Regions from separate parts of the Mus musculus genome. Here regions 2 and 3 are each reported to be linked to region 1. Evidence: microRNA targets listed by miRTarBase, many of them from high-throughput screens and not tested one by one. Region 1 holds a microRNA gene; each other region holds the end of a gene's coding sequence.
What was found. The annotated mature microRNA mmu-miR-1952 reads UCUCCACCCUCCUUCUG and lies in region 1 at 1,490-1,506, opposite strand. An mRNA with a match to its seed (bases 2 to 7 or 8) in the 3' UTR can be bound and repressed. Matches are read on the target gene's strand: a 7mer-m8 pairs with bases 2 to 8, a 7mer-A1 pairs with bases 2 to 7 and ends in A, and an 8mer does both.

Region 2: miRTarBase lists Shisal1 as a target of mmu-miR-1952. Seed matches in the 3' UTR shown: 7mer-m8 at 27-33.
Region 3: miRTarBase lists Coro2a as a target of mmu-miR-1952. Seed matches in the 3' UTR shown: 7mer-A1 at 639-645.

What each region holds. Positions count from the first base shown.
Region 1 is chr2:138,818,342-138,821,448 of GRCm38, reverse strand. It overlaps Mir1952 (microRNA 1952), which reads right to left and starts at 1,520; the gene lies at 1,442-1,520.
Region 2 is chr15:84,381,903-84,385,009 of GRCm38, forward strand. It overlaps Shisal1 (shisa like 1), which reads right to left. Exons shown (of 5, transcript NM_001374162.1): 5 at 1-2,490. The coding sequence ends at 2,490. Among named protein-coding and RNA genes, the nearest start is that of Gm46527, 47 kb to the right of the region's middle.
Region 3 is chr4:46,536,621-46,539,727 of GRCm38, reverse strand. It overlaps Coro2a (coronin, actin binding protein 2A), which reads left to right. Exons shown (of 12, transcript NM_001164804.1): 12 at 461-2,791. The coding sequence ends at 592. Gm16731 (predicted gene, 16731) reads right to left here. Exons shown (of 4, transcript NR_151695.1): 2 at 2,405-2,557; 3 at 288-636; 4 at 1-182. Among named protein-coding and RNA genes, the nearest start is that of Trim14, 2.0 kb to the right of the region's middle.

The DNA.
Region 1 (3,107 bases):
AGATCCTCCTGCCTCTGCTTCCTGAGTGCTGGAATTAAAGGTGCATTCCACTACAGAAAGCTCTTAAGCCAAAGTGGAGAGGGTATGCTAATGGGGAAGGAAAAGCCGAAGGTGGATCTTTAGAACCTGATCAGGCATGAAGGGGAAGGTGTTTTGTGCTCCAAGATCCTAGAGAAGAGAGAGGCTACTTTCTCCCATGGCTTCAGTGAGAGCAGACACAGGGAATCAGGCTCTTATTATCATCTATTGTGACTGGGAAGAGAGCAAGAGCCGCAGTGACTTCTAAGAAAGAAAGTAGGACAACTCTGCAGCCAAGAAGTTGCTGGACCTGGTTTGCTTTCCTCGATGCTTTTCTCTTAAGTGTTTGAGAAAAAAAATCACATTGTGTAGTCAAACAAGGAAAGGCCAGGGTCATCTGCATTCCCTGCCCTGGGATGGGAGCTACAGAGTTCCAAATGACTGCCTCCCAGCTGAGGACTTCATTTCCTGGACTCCCTGTAGGACAGAGAGATCCAAGGAATGATGGGGAAGAGCAACACATAAGCACTTTTCAGGGACACTGCTCTTATATAACATGCAATGTATCTTGGTGACAATTCTAACAATGTGGGGCTAGAGATACACTTTTAACAAAAGTCAGCAGGCTATGAGAGGCTGAAAGTGGCCCACAAACGTGTGTCTTCCATCCTCATCCTAAGAGGGTGTTTGGCTCATTATGTTCTAGCCATCAGCCACTTTCTTCTCAGTTACATGACTCACCATCCTCCCAAGTTCCATCCCCAGTGAAATGGCTTGGCTGGCAGCCTTTCCTGGGGGACAATCTGCCTGTGGATTTTACACCTACAACAATCTGGAGTGGAAGATGCTCACTCCGTGTGTGGCTATAGTCTCAGGTCTCTAGAACCTTCGGGAAACGTAGTTTTGAGAAATGGTGCTTATGAATTTAAAATTATAGTCAGGAAACTCTTTGGCATCTGAGATACCTGGATAATTTTAGAAGATGATGTGATCTGGTGACCGAAGTTGGAGGAAAATAGGAAGCCTAATCATATTCCAAGCTCTTTCACAGTGCTCTGCAATCCAAGTGCAAATAAGTTCCTAAATCTTTTTGCATTGTGTCAAGATATGCATATACTTAATTTACCTACATGCACAACACATGCATGTGTGCATGCCCAGGAACACTCACATGCACTGTCCTTTCAGACTTTTTCTTACAACATAAGGAGATTGCAGTCAGACAGAGAAAACCACAAACTTTGAACAGAAGAAAAGGATGAAGTATGTTATATGCTGCCTTGCAAAGAAGAAAAATCTATTTTTAGACCTTGAATTAGCATTAACAGAAGGCAGAAGTGGGGGATATGCAAGAACAGGAGAAGCAGCAGAAAAGCAGAGAGGGTTTATGAAAGCCTCTGTGTGCCCTCCCGCCCCCCCATACTTCCATCTCTTTTGTCATCCACACCTTGGAGCAGGAAATAAGCCTGCACAGAAGGAGGGTGGAGATCAATAAGAGAGGGATAGGTGGCTGCAATATTTGCCTTGTCTCAATACCAACATTTATTTAGACTTTGTGTTTCATCCTGTTTGTATTCACATCTCCTGAAAATGGACTTCTGGTCTAGAAGAACTTTGATGAGAGGATGCTCTGGGGCATGGGATATGGGCCTGTAAAGAAGTGAGGAAGTGGGTAGTGTGCAGAGTTAAAATGCTGCCCAACTTTCCAGCCAACTCCAGCTCAAACATCTGCTCTAGAGGAGATTTGCCTTCACGTTTGTACCAGTTGAGACCAAAGGGTCAGGCACTGTGGATGAAGCAACCATCTCCATAAACACCCCCTACTAGAGGCAAAAACCTCATAGTCTCCTGAGGCTAACATCAATTTAACTTTCAGGTGACGCCCCTGTTGTGAGCCAGCATCAACTTCAGATCGAGTAGATAGCCTAGAAAAACCTCAGACCTTTGTAGATACCTAGTGTTTCAGATGAAACAGTATCAATGTGGGTTGCCTCTTTACTGTGGAAAACAAGTAGAAAAGAGAAAGCAGAAAGAAGTTCAAGTCAGGATGAGAACCTTTACCTCTTTAGAGTCTATGAGTATTCTGAGGGGCTGAGAGAGGCATTCAGCTTCAGTTTTAAACCTTACTAGCCCCTACACCCCTTCCCACACATAATTTCTTTATTCCTATGACTTATCTACTACCAGGTGAGAATTTAGAACATGTTTATTAACACACATTCTTTCTTTCTTTCCTTTTTTTTTAGTATAAAGTAGAGTTTATTCAGGGCATGGGAAGGAGTTGAGAGGGTAGTAAAGACAGAGAAAGGGAGAGAGAGAGTAGAGGACCAGCCATGAGCACCTGGAGAGAGGGGGAGGGGAATGGGGAGAGAGGAGGAGCATGAAGAAGACGACAGAGTGACAGCAAAAAGGCCAAGAGAGTCATACATTATTTCTTGATTGCCTTTGGGTCAACGAAAATGCCCTTGTACCTTGTCAGTCTAGAGCAACTATGTTTTATTCAAGGGCTACTGTATTAGTTACTATGACCCTATCAATTTACTCTTAAGAGAGCTTTGCATAGTTGGTATGGTGATATGGGATATGGGAAAATAATCTTCTCTACACATATGCTTCTACTCCTGACAACTTCCTAGCTCTGCTTCTTCACAGGCTGTTAGTATTTGTGTAGTTAGGGTCTCTTCTGCACTCAAACTTGAACACGTAGGTCACCTTTACTGTCTAGTCTCTGTTGTATAAATATATTAGATCTGTTTAGTGCAATGTTTGTGAATCCAAGGTCTTCACTTCTAGGACCATTATTGGAAACCCTACCAGCTTTATCAAGTAGAGAACATGCTGACAAAAGAAAGAGCGACTCACAGATGGAAGGAGGATAAGTCTTTGAACAAATGCCTGGTACTTAGGAAGCCACAATACACTACGGTGAATAAAAATTATATTTCTTAGTTGAAGCCACTAACATTAGGAGTTGGTTTCTGATACAAGTAATGATTTTTAAAAAGTGGGAATATGTATATATCACATAGAACAAAGACATGTTCTCTACCAGTCTAGTCTTGGTTTAATCCATGAGGGCTCGCCTCTTG
Region 2 (3,107 bases), not on the chromosome of region 1:
TCCCCTAAGAGGCCTCTGATGGGGACCTCCACCCCCCCACACACACACCCAGTATCCTGCTGTCTGCATGGCCATGACCCTTCCTGTGTCTGAGGAAGGAGGCTTCACAGAGGAAGTAGCTCTGAGCCCTGTGCAAGCAGCTTCGAGAGTGTTACCCAGAGCCACCCCAAACCAGAAGTCTCCTCAACATCTGGTTGGGCTCCTTCCTCTCAGTACTGGGGAAACTGAGGCAGGAGGGCCTGTGATCACTTTGCTCAGGTGCTATCAGAATCTCTATCTTAATAGCCCCCGAATCCTCTTCCCTACAGAAGCTCTCTCTTGAGGCGTTAAGTGTGACCTGATGCAGCCAGTCCACTGCTAAGAACCCTCCAGGGCAATGGCTGCCCCACACCCTAGGATGTGGGAGAGGATCCACACCCATCTTTAATCAAGATGGATGCAGAGGCTCTCCTGGGTGTGTGCAGAACCCAGCAGTGTGTCTGAGAGAAATGGACTGGGTGCAGAGACAGAGGCCAGCAGGCTCAATAGGCCTCTAGAGCCGTCAGAGTGACAGCTTCCGTGCCTACAAATGGGGCCATCCCTCCCTCATGTGGGTTGAAGAATGAAGAACCTGCCAGAGTGGAAAGAGTTTTATGTCCTAGAACCCAGCACTGTCAGTGGTGACACACTGTGTAGACGCCCTTATGGTGACTGCAGAGAATCACTACGGTAACCACAGAGACCCGCAGGTGGATCCATCCCTTCACCTCTGCTGCTCCTGGCCACCCTGGATTGTTTACTTTTAGGAACCTGGCAGGCAGGAACCTCTAGATTGGCTGCAACTTTCCCAGGTTCACTCCTCTTAGCTAGATCCTGTTTAGACCCCGGCTTAAACATCTCTGACCACCCAAGCCCCACTCGGCCTCCATGATAGACCTTTGTGGTCTTCATGAACACCTCCACGCTGGCCCTTCCTTCCTTGCTGCCTTTGCCTATTGTTCTCCGCAGTGTGGGGAGGGAAGACCACCAACCGTGTGGGGACAGCACTGATCAAGGAAGGATGCAGCTTCAGGAAGAATGGGTCACAGGCTGAGGGCAGGGAGGGACAGTTTGGCCTCCTTCATAGGGGTGAGATGGCCCTGTCTACATTGCCAATGTGACCTCTGGAGATTGACAGGGTCACTTCTGGGGGATGTCCTTCCTTTTGGGTGCCACAGGCAGTGGGTTTTGGGGCAGAGATAACCTCTTTGGGCAGATGTTACAGGCACCCAGGCTTACTTGGAAACCCCCATTGTAAGTGGACAGATTCATAGAACCCTCTGTTCTGGGTTTCCATAGGACCCATCGTTGTGGCTGTGTTTCCTCCGTTCGAGGTGTGGCAGCTCCCACCCACCTCTGGACCTTACCACTGCCTGGCCTGGTGCACAGCAGGCCCATGGCCAGAGTGAGCTCAGGCAAAGACAGTGGAGGACCTGAGCTGGGGAGGTGCTGCACTCACTGTGAAAATGTCAGGCACCTGCTCCAGTGACCACACTGGGGGACCTGGGTTATAGAGCCTGTTACACCCTGGGAATCAAAACTTGGGCTTGGGTTCTTGTCACTCTGGGGCCAAACTATGGAGTTGATCACTTCCTGCCATATAAATGTGGCACCCTTCACCAAGCTGCACTCTTTCCAATGACATTAGCACCCCCACCTCCTAGGGGCTGTGATGGTGCACACAACAACACATCCAACCTAGGCCGCACACAGCCAGTTAAGATGCTTCCTCAATACAGCTGCCATGGGAACAGATTCCACCAGAACCACCTGTCACTGGTACGCTCCAGTCCCCCACTGCTTGCGGCATGGACAGGAAGGTTAGGCACTGTGCCTACCGACTCCACTGGTTCACAGTTGTTGGCCACAGCAAGAGGCCTGAGCCTCAAACGAGGACACGGGCAAGACTCCTCAGCCACACAGCAACTTGTGCTCATCGGAGAACCTGCAGCCAGTGGCAATGGGGCTCAATGACAAGCTAACTGACTGAACATATAGAAACACCCTGATCACACACGTGCGCGCACACACTCAAGTTCAATATTCCGACACGGATAGGCCTAAGGGGGCCGCTATTGGAGGGGATGGAGGCAGGGGAAACGTCAGTGTTTTGGACCATGGTACAACTCATGGCCCCAAATCCCTCTGGCTGGGATCAGCCAGAGCAGCTTAGTGTTGGTCACCTCAATCCACACGGAGTCTCTTCTCAGAAGCCACCAGCCCCAGAGAGAACTATTGCTTGCAGACAGGTGGCTCAGAGCCCCTTTCCTGCACCCTGTCCCCGGACCCTGAGTTTGCTCCTAATCTCAGAAGTTCACGGAAGGGGGTTCTGGGCACAGGTGGTACTTCCTCTTTCGTTACCACGCCGCTGCCCCAGCTCTCCCCGGTGTCTTGGTTGAAGCTGCTCTTGGAGGCTGCACCAGGTGCTCTGGGTCTAGCCTCCTCCATCCTGAGGCACAGCAAAAGGGTTTTCTGGAGAGAGTGGAAGAAAGAAGTACCAAGCGTTAGAGTGAGGAAAAAGCCAAGAACGTATGACATTTGTACTTTGGGCACAAGGAAGTCTGTGACACTGCGGTTGTGTGGGATACTCGAGCTCCTGGCCCATGCAGTAACATATGGAGTATCAGGACTTGTATACAGAAACCCAAATCCCAATTAACTGCGTGCAATCTATCTGGGAAATCCAACAGAGCCAGCAGGCTGCTTATTAAAGCAGGGATTGCAAAGATAAATACATTTCTCACTCTTTGAGCCATCCGATCAACTTATAAGGCCAGTGACATTCATCTCCCACAGCTTGACTATATATCTTGGCTTGAAACAGTTCCAGAGAACACCTGTCATTGAACATAATTTTTAAAATACCCTTTAGCCTTCCAAAGTACTCTGATTTGAGTGAAAATATATCTTTGTGTAATGAGCTAACAATTGTTCAAAATGAATACAGATGCCATTCATATGAATTAAAAAAAAATCCCACTGCACCTCTTGGACCCACACTTTTGGACAGGTCTCCATGGCTTTGGGCCAGATCAAGTCATGGAAAAGAACCCAAGGCTTCCCTGGATAAGAGATGAGCCAGAAGACCA
Region 3 (3,107 bases), not on the chromosome of region 1:
CTTAGGGCAGCGGGTTACATGGTATCCACAAGCTGGAGGCGGACAGAGATAGATGCTGGCACTCAGCTTTCAGCCCAGGATCTCATCCCATTTGTTAATGCTACCCACAGTTAGGATGGATCAATCTAGAAACTCCATAGGTGATTCTAGATCCTGCTGCATTGTTAAAATTGAATAGAGTCCTGTGATGGGGAAGAAAAAAAAAAGTTTTCAGGCTTCCGGTCCAAAGAGCCTTTGCTCTACCCCTCAGGGATCTGGGAAGGACAAATAGAATACAAACAAGCTACCGGAACTTCACTGTTGGGTAAAGCAAGCAAGGCTTTCGTCACGGCTCAGAAGTGACTGTCCCTTGCTAATAATTTAACGGCTGTCACCAAGTCAGAAGTGTGTGCCTCAGCCTCTGTGCTGTGGCCTATCCCGGCCACCCAGATGACCTCTCCCTCTTCACTGTGCTTCACAGCTGCTGCAGATGTTCTACCGGCAACAGGAGGAGATCCGGAGGCTCCGGGAGCTGTTAATCCAGAGAGAAGTCCAGACCAAGCAGCTGGAACTAGAGATCAAAAACCTGCGGATGGCCTTAGGACAGCTCTGAGCAGTGCTCTCCTCCACCCTTGCCCTCAGGGACACCGATAGGCTCTGTGGAGAGAGAGAGAGAGAGAGAGAGAGAGAGAGAGAGAGAGAGAGAGAGAGAGAGAGAGGTCCAGCACCGAGCCGAAATTCACTGAGAACAACCACTATTTCTATATTTTATACCAGGAAAACAAAACTCTCAGTTGCTGAAAGAGATCCCAGTGGGACGTGGTGCCGCTTTCCTGTCGCCTTCTCCAATCTGCAGTTCCTGCCCTGGCTGGTTTAGATTATACCCTACCTTCTGCTGGATTCTGGTTTTAAGGGTTGGTGAGGAGCTATGACCTCCCAGAGTGAAGATTTGGCCCAATTCTAAACCACAGGCAGGCAGCCAAACCCATCCTTCCAACCAGAATCAGCCACATGTGGGTAGATCGTCCCATAGGTGGGGACACAGACCTCAGAGCTGAGTCCATGTCTGTTGACTACAAGAGGGCAGGAACGGACTTCCACCCAGGGTATCTAAAGTCCTCTGGGAGGTAGGGGGGCCCAGCACTGGATGTGGCAAAGCCCCATGGCCAGCCACCAGTAAGGGCTCTGGTTCACTGCACTGGGTGAGAAAATGGCACCTGGTCTGAAAGCCTGCGACCCTCCCTTGTGTGTCTTGTGCCTGGTTCTGAGGCTCTTTTCTTTCTTGGTGCAAAACAAGCCTAGCTGGTGCCTGAGAACTTGAGACAAGGCTTACCACAGGAGGTACCCACTCCCCCATACCTCCTGGACAAGCAGACAGAGTTCCCCCCTCCCCCCTTCCCCTCTGGACAGATAGTTTCCCCCATCACTCAGGGTCATGCTGGAGCTCAAGCGAGAATTTCAGGGGCTATCCAGGCTAACAGGTTCTGACCCACATCGTCCATTAGCACCCCACTGGATGCACATACTGATGACCAGACCTGCCCACTAAAGCTGACCCTACAGTGGAGGGTACGGCCCTCTGAACAAGCTGCCTGAGTGGCTTCTGTTCATGGGAATGGAGACGCTTTTAGCTAGCATCCTACTGCTGTGTTGGCAATGGAAGCAGTACAAAGCTGACTCGCACACGACCACGTCACTCACCGTCGCTGGTATCTGCACACACCAGGGTCCTGTGCTCCTTGGTTTATTCTCCATCCCTACACTACACTGGGACTCTATGCCCGGCGATGAGCTAGCTATGCTCGCCTTCCTTGTGCTCCCGAGTATGGCAGGGATCTGGAGCTCCTGGGATGGCGCGCTCTCTCTCCTTTCATTTGTGACCAGCATGTCAGTCTGTAAAGCTCCAACCCCATGCTCAGAAGGCAGGAGGGCCACATAGTGAAGACACCAGCCCAAAACCACTGGCTGCCTCTTATGTGTGGCTAGGGGTGGGGTCCAGTGAGCTTCCCATCAAATCTCTGTACAACACCATCCCCTCAAAAAAAAGCTATCCCCACTGTAAGGGACCCAGACCCAGACCTCACATTCAGGAACAGGTCACAGGTGGCTATGAACAAAATTATATGTTGTTTCTTGTTCTGTTGGGTTTTTTTTTACATCTAGAATAAATTATTTAAATTATTTCATAGCAAGGGAGAGGGATATTTGTCATCTTTTTTTTCTTTTGAAGATTTTGTCATATTTTTTTAAGATTATGTTTTTATGTTCTTGGGCTAATGGAGCAACACTGCCCCCTGACACAGTGACCACCCAAGCAGCAAAGCCGCCCTCGGCTCCTTCCTTCTTGCCTTGGGAGCTTTCTTTCTGATGACTCAGGAACTTTGTGTGAATGAGGGAGAACGCTTGGAGATGAGCTTGTACCCACCTTAGCTCTACAATAATTCTGCTTCCTAGAACAAAACTTGAGGTTGTATCCCAGAGGGAAACGGGAATCAAGATACGGACCTATGCTTTTCATATGAAACCGTGCCTGAAGCCGTTTGAGTGATTGTTTGAATGTTTCTTAAATTCCTTGTACCTTTGTAAAAAAGTAAATAAAAAAATAATTAAGAAATAAAAGTTAAAATAGACACAGAATCGTGCAATGTAAGAATATGACAATCTACTGTGGGTGGTAATTCCTGCCTGTAATCCCAGTTCATGGAAGGCTGAGGCAGGAAGATTGAAAATTCCAGACCAGCTTGGGCAAAGGAGTCTAAGACTCTGCCTCAACCAAAATAATAATAAATAATAACACCAGACTCGATATTGCAATGCTTGGCGATTTCCTTTTTGTTAATTCGTTCTACAAGTACCAATTTAGCACTAGGTGTCTGGACCAGATGATACCGGACCAGGTTGGCAAACTGGTCAGTAAGGTCCGAATACCCTTGAAGTGCTTCCACTTGTGTTTGAGAGAATTCGTGAGGGGCAGGATGGGGCAGGGTGGTCAGGCGGCTGTGGGTGGAGAATGGACGCTTCCTGAAGAAGGAGATAAGCCACACCTCCATGTGATTGGGGGACAGTGAGCAGCAGCTATACCTTAAGCAAGAACTGCAAAATGCCCCGGCTAGAAACAGGGTGGGTCA